Linked DNA regions of Drosophila melanogaster. The protein of the gene in region 1 interacts with the protein of each later gene in a pairwise test. Each region holds a gene or a part of one and is shown in the gene's direction. Other genes may lie near its edges.

Evidence for each region.
Region 2: the proteins of Zmynd8 (region 1) and OS9 interact in a two-hybrid assay, tested with the Drosophila melanogaster proteins (one large-scale study listed by BioGRID).

What each region holds. Positions count from the first base shown.
Region 1 is NT_033777.3:31,667,463-31,671,393, forward strand, and holds the start of Zmynd8 (zinc finger MYND-type containing 8), read left to right. Parts: upstream 1-2,002; 5' UTR 2,003-2,218; intron 2,219-2,354; 5' UTR 2,355-2,478; intron 2,479-3,301; 5' UTR 3,302-3,316; coding exon 3,317-3,931. UniProt on the Drosophila melanogaster protein: Chromatin reader that recognizes specific histone signatures to regulate transcription. Plays a role in neuronal development.
Region 2 is NT_033779.5:19,964,994-19,968,420, reverse strand, and holds OS9 (Olfactory-specific 9), read left to right. Parts: upstream 1-1,910; 5' UTR 1,911-1,944; coding exon 1,945-2,001; intron 2,002-2,060; coding exon 2,061-2,603; 3' UTR 2,604-2,757; downstream 2,758-3,427. Other genes in the region: Hf (helical factor), read left to right, coding at 767-847, 911-1,474; CG10680 (uncharacterized protein), read right to left, coding at 3,140-3,358, 3,411-3,427.

The sequences.
Region 1 (3,931 bases):
CTGAAGCTGGCGATGGTTAGCGAATTTCTATTATTAAATAAATTGGAGAGGGGCAAGGTACCAACCGCTTTTAGTTATTGTTTAAAGTAAGCATAATTAAACGTTACCCGAAAGCGAGCCCTTTTGAATCTTCTGGGTGAAGCCAACCAGATATTTGCATCTCCGCCTCCAAAATCAGTTGCGAATGAGCCGGAAAAATCGCAGCCCATTGTTCTGATCTTCTCAGGCAAATCAATACCGCCGCTAAATGGTACATTGCACCTCGAAAAGGAGCCAACAGCGGGGCGGGGAGGTTCGGGGATGGGCTCGTCCTTTGATCCCTGCGCCGTATACATATCCATATACACACCATGTGCCTCACCTATCCCTTGAACGGACGCCCCTACCTGGCCATTGATTAAAGTGGTTCCTTTGCAAATTTATGTTCGGAATATTAACCGAATTGCTCCCCGAGGAAAACTCCCCAGCCACTCTCACTCGAAAAGAAAAACTTTTTCCACAATGTACTCGTGTACTGCACACACACACACACACACACACACACACACATAGCCAATCGTATGAAAAAGGGGCCAAGGCAACTTTTTTAACAGTTTTTGGATTTTGGAATACAAATTATGTAAGTAATCTCAATTTATTGATATATGGAGATGCATGTTTACACGTGGCCAGCAGCAGCCCGACATTGTCGCTATTTTGGAAGCCATCAGAGGGTATGGGGTCCATATTACAGGTGGCCGGTCGGTGGGTGGGTGGCTCAGTGGGTGGCAGGTAGGTAGGTGGTTGGAGGCCGTGCCTGCCCGAGTGTGACCCTTATGAATGGGGCAACTTTTGTCTTTCTTCGTCGCATTTTATACTCTCGCAGCATTATAATTTGCCATGAATATATGAAAACCGTTTGTAGAAGTTCAACCGTTGTGGGGTCGTGGTCCTTGGGCTACGGCTCACTCCCCCCACACCAGACACATCGCTTGGTATTGTCAGCCTGGGAAATGGTTTATGTAATGGGATTCATAACTTGTTTACCTGCCAGCAGGGCTATATCCAGTCGAGAAGTGGTGCCGGAGAATGTCCAGGGTCCAGAGCGCTGGTCTCGTTGGCGCAGCCTTTTAATTTTAATTAAACTCCTCGAATTGCCGTAGAAGATTTTTCGTGAAGCTGCCCAATGATTTATGGAACTTTCAAGGTTATTCGCTCCATTATAAATTCATGTAAATGCTTTTGCATTTCTGGTCATTATTTGGCTCATTATTTTGCAAAGCCAAATTAGAGCAGATCATCGCATAAAACCGAACTTAATTACCTGAAATTATGATGCATGACCCAGTCCCACCATGTGGCTGATTTACTTTTATGGCCTAGTGCTTTCCAATCTAATCCCTGACTAGTAGTAAATTTTACGGCCCTCGTGGCCGTATATTAAATGTAATCCTTTATTTAAACTCATTTAATTTTTGCATTGATTAATTCATGATTAATGTTCTGAATTTATTGGGCATTTAAAGGGCAAAATGTAAGCGGTAAGCCATTAGCCTTGTTGTTTGGATTCTGTCACTGTGTGTATTATTGGAAGTCCTTAAGTAATCTTTGTCTGCTCATGAATTTCGAAAACATAATAATGCGATAACACCCAATATGATGGTATATACATATTGAAAACTTTATGAACTCATCAAACTTTACTTTTGAAAAGCAAAGTTTCCCTCGACCAATATTGCCAACTAGTTCGCTTAGCGAGTATTCGCCCCAGCCAGCGTTGCCAACTGTGCCCGTGAGTATTGAAAGGGGCACCATTAATTTAGTTCTTCATTGTAAAAATTTAGCTTGCCTAGTAATGCAGATTCAAAATTCAAATGAATTCGATTCGTTGATAATGACTTAAATATTTAAAACGCGCGCCAATGCACAATCGAAAGTGGTCGTTCTGAATCAGCTCATCTATCAATGTATCGAAAACCCTTATTCGATTAATCTTCCTACAACGATAGCTCGATAGCCATCGGGACTGTTGTCATCTGGCAGCACTGTTACTTCGGGAAAAAATAAAATACAACAAAACCATTAATTAAACTAGGAAGGCGCTGCGTTACATCAATTGAGGGCGCCGATCGTCGGACAATCGCCGTACGTAGAAGGCTCGAAAACCGGCGTTTGGAGACAGCGATCTGAAAGGCGTCCAGTCAAATCTGCGATTTTCGCACACAGCCCTGAGAAATTGGTAAGAGCCAGGCAGAAGGAAACGCTTTCCGCGTATCACTCTTCCCCCTCCCCTTCTAACTTCCGCACCAGCAAACCTGGTCATGCAGCACAACACACTGAAAACACTAAATTCATCGTGGACACATTTCTTGCAGATGCGACAGAGGAATCTCGCCCAGAAACAGATCGGACCGAAATAAATCGCTCAGTTATGGTTCCCACTTTCAAATCACCAGGGGAGAGTGGTAACAGTGAGGCTTCCTAACGTGAACATCGCAGGTGCGTAAAATTTGCGAAGCGAACACAGATGCAAATAAGTAGGAAGCGCGGAGCACACGCCGCAAGCACTCGCTGAAGTTGCGCTGGTGACGCAAAAAAGAACGGCAAACACAACACGCACGATTCCGTGACACTTTGCATTTACACATTCCCATTTGGCGAATTCGTCACACTCGGCACACTTCGGCGAGTCGGGCTGATACGGTTTAGCATATCGTATTTGCGGTTTCCAAGTCTCTGATTTTATTGCTAAAATATGTACTTGTTAACGAAATTGAAGGTCTTATACCATACTGTGTGCCCTCACCTCCACACTGCAATTTCTATTACTCGAAGAGTAAGAGCAAACACTTCATCCATTCACAAGTGTGTTACATGTAGAAGAGAGGGTGGTCCGAAAGCAACTAGATTTGTGTATTCGTTATGACAGGATCACTAGTCGAATTGATTCGATCCGCCTGCGCGTAAAACGAGAGGTATCTTGCATCTAAGTATAGAATTGTGGTTTTGCTCGACTGTGATGTCCTCTCTAGCTTATTACTCAAAATTAAATTTGTTGTGTCGGAGGACATGAGGGGGATTCGTTGACATTATAGCTAATAAAGAGTTTCAAGTGTTCTGTTTGATTGTAATATTAAAAACCCAATATTGTACATATGGATTCCTAAAATTTATTTATAGAGCAGCATTATCAATTAAATAGCTATAGTCAACCTCACGAATATTGAAAGAAAAAAACTAAAAATAAGTTAAGAGGCAAAACATCAAACAATTATTTAGATTTCTCAATTGCCAGACTGTTCCATAAATGTATCATTTTCAGTCTTTCGCACAGAGCATGGAAAGCACGGACAGCAGCGACAGCAGTGGGGATAGCTTAAAATCCATTCCCCGGCCGGACTTTGAGGCCCTCTCCGCCATCGGCAGCCCACAGCCGCAGTTGCAGAGCTCCTCGCTGGATGGCCACGTCGAGATGGAGCCGGTCATCATGCCCAGCAAGCGTCAAAAGTATATTGTCAGTGCTCCGCCTGGGTCGGCCAACTGCAGCAGTAACTCATCCAGTTCGAGTCCCTCGAACATCAACGTGGGCTCCTCGCTTACCATGAAGTTGACGAAGGTGCAGCCACAACAGCATCAGGCTAAGTCCTCCACGCCAAACAACAAAGGCAAAGTAGCCAAGGAAATGGTTGCTCTGCAGCGCTCACACATCGAATCCGAGGTCCTCAGCAACTTTGTGACTGGGGTGTCCAAGCTGAAGAGTCGAAAGTCGCGATATGTGCCCGGGAATCTCGCCACTCAGGCAGTAGGTGGAGAGCTGTCCCGCAGCTTAAATACCTCCTCCGAAAACGAAAACAAATCTCTAAAGGTTGCCCTTAAGCGGAGCAGCAGCATTCCAGCCCCCATCCTCGACTCAGATGACGACTGGCAGGACGAGGACATCGCCTGGGGCGTA
Region 2 (3,427 bases), on another chromosome or scaffold:
ATGCCAGTGCATTTGCCAACAATCGCGGGTAAAGCGTATTATTCTGAACGTAAATGTAATAAGACTTATGTATAAGTACTTTTGCAGAGATACAAAATGAAATAGTTATAAGGACGTTTATCGCATGCCAAACGATCCTTGATCCTTGATATTTTTTGATTTTACACAACTTTAAAAGATAATATAGAAAATATGGTTATTGTACAAATTATTAAGGATGTTTTGGTAATCCAGACTCTTTTCTTTACAATTAAATTTATTTAAAAACACTTTTTCGATTTTACCAACCTTTAGAGATCAGATTGAAAATGTTGTAAGTGTACAAAAGAATGAGCATATTTTGATTATCCGGACGACTTTCTTCCCGTTACAAGCCAATTTACAAATGCTGAATATGAATATATATATACATATAGTCCGGATCAATATGAGAATGCAGTAGCTTGCTAATAACCTAAGTATATGCTAAGATGTGTAATTTACAAATCTAATTGTTAATGTTACTCGTGTGTATGCAGATTACTACTAACATTCGACTAGACGGCATCTTTTTTTCCTAGCTAGCTTAAATAGAAAACCACGAACGAACATTAATGGCCATTAATTTGCTCACTCTACGAAATTCGTATAAACAGTACTTGAGATATTTTCTACTTGCGCTTAATAAAACAAACAAAACCTAAGCCAGTCGAGATTGTTTGGGTGGGGAGACCGTTTGGCATCCGTCCGACATGATCAGTCTAAATCGAGCAGCGATCAGAGGAGCATGGCGAGATCAGGGCGCAGTTCGAGGTTTCTTATCGGCGGCAGCACTTGCTGTTCGATGCTTCTGGGTCTTATCTGTCTGGTGAGTCGGTGAGTCGGCAGTGGATTAGATAAGGAACTTATTGATTTTCCTCTCGATTGCCAGGCTCTGGCGGACTCATCCCAAGTGAAAGAACGCAGCCCTACCATCTTGGTGAGAAATACAATTCAAGCGGTGGAGAGGCTCTTCAATCAGGTGCTCTACACGACCATCGAAGATGCCCGCCAACGACTACCGGGTCTTCCGGCCAACGAAACCATCGATCGGCAGTACTTCGAGGAGCTCGACCTGGTTGCTGGGAACGAGGACTATTACAGCACTGCATTCTATATCTTCGCCTGGATAAACAGCGACCTCATGTACCATAAGACTCCCGATAAGTTGCTCGTCGAGGTTCTTCCCGGCGAGAAGATCGCCATCCGCAGATTCTTCGCCAAGGTCAAGCCGCATCTTACCAAGTATCTGCGACTCAGTCGACAGGACAGGTCGGAATTGGTTTCCAACGTCACCCAGTTGGCCACCGAAACCAAGGACAGTCTGATCACAACCTTCTTGGAGTTTCCCCAGAACCTGAAGAGCCAACTTCCTGAGCTCCAGCTAATGGACTACACCAAATTGGCTCAGGCTTTGGTGCAGGGGGTGGCCAGTGGTATATGGACGAAGGCTTAAGATTAATAGCTAAATATTTAAACAATATCATAGAATTAGAAAGTGTTTGTAATAAAATGAGAAATGTACTTCAAAGAACAATATTCGGAATCTATTTATACGAGGACTTTATTCCTGAAAAATGCCGTTTAACTTCCGGAAAATTTCCGACTGTCTGATCAACATGTGTAGATATCGAGAACTGATACTTTAAAGCAATAAAGATATTATCGTGACTTGGAACTATATACGACTTTGTAATAACAAAATGCATGGTTTCCACTACCCACTAATTAATATACGAAGGGGCAGCACTCGTTCTTATCACGCTCACCGATTTCTGAAGTCTGATTACAGTCTATACGTTGTCTCACGATCAGTGGGTATTCATTACAGAGGAGGCGTTCTCCCATTTTGTATAAAAATTGTGAATTTAAGAGAGGGAATATAAAAGGAATCAGTTCGATAGAGACTAGATACAGTTTCAAATCATGGCCAGCAGACTAACTTGGACTTTTCTAGTCGCTGTAGCTGCCCTCCAGCTTTCGGTAAGATCCTTAGATTTGCTTATATCCTTTTGGAATCAACAGAAACCTTTAACTTTCAGCTTGCAGCGCCTCTCATTAACAAATGGCAGTTACAATTCGAAGTGTCCAATGAACTCTTTCAAATGGTAACAGACGCCATGGAACAGCTACGACATGTCTTTCAATTGGTCATCGACGAGGCCGAACTCATTTTACCACCAAACTCCAAGGGACACATTCTCAGGGAGCTTAAGGACTTCGTCGCGGCCTTGGACACCCTGGACTTCGATGATTCATTCGAGCTGAACAGACTGGAGGATGCTCTTGAGGAACTGGAAAGCATCATTTCGATTGCAGGCAGCAAAGAATTCGAATCGGAAGCTGACGAGGTTGTCGTTCAGCTATTCATACAGCACGGAGTTGAGGACCTGGAGCAGATCCTGGAAAGAAACTTGGAAACTACTCTGAAAATCGTAGAGCAGAAGGTGGAGAAATACATGAGCACATGGTCCGACAGTCGGTTGGCCAGGAACGCGGCGATGGTCAAGCAGTTTAATGACTTTAAGAACGAAAAGGATGTCTATGAGAAGCTGGACAAGTTAACCAACTCTGATTTCATTTGAATAAACATATCATGTTTCAAGTACATTTAAGTTTAAACCAAATAACTACAGATACATAGTCCGAACGTATATATTATTTCCAGAAACTGCCTTGCAAATATCAAAACCAGTAGTCCAGAGTTCATGTTTTGTATTAGCACGCTCGCCGGAAGCTAAAATTTGATTACATATTGCAGCTGATTTAACAATCAATGAGCATATAATAAATACGCTAGTAAGTGTTTACTACTTAGTGCAGGTATGACGTAAGAAATGTGGAATTCATTTTACAAAGGTATTGAATACCTTAATATACCTTTTTTAGATTTGTAAGCTGTCAGGTTTCAATAGCTTTGAAAGTTTTACTGACTTTCTATTCAATACAATTGTTATTTAGTCTGATAAATAAACCGTGCGGAAAGTAAAATAACTGATTATTTGTAATGCCAAGAATCTTTACATTACACACAGACAAGTCAGTATAATCTCTAGCAGCCTTAACTAGTTGTTTTTGAGAACTCGGAACTTTCATTCATCAGCTTCTCTTAGGAAAGGTGTTAAAAGTTGCGATAAGATGATCCAAATCCATCCCGCGAGTCGAACACATCCCGCTCGATTTGGGGAGGTCCTCTTCCATCCGATGTGTAGCTATAGGATTCGCTCCGGTAAAAGTTGTTAGAAGAGCCCCCGGAACCAAGGGGACCACTTCTACCAGTCGGAATACTGGAACCACCGGCGATAAGGGGGATAATGGAACCACTGGATGGCATAGGTACCTGGAGAAGGTGTATTAGTTTTTTAGTTAGGAAAACGATTGCACAAGATTACCGGTCGAGATACAAAGG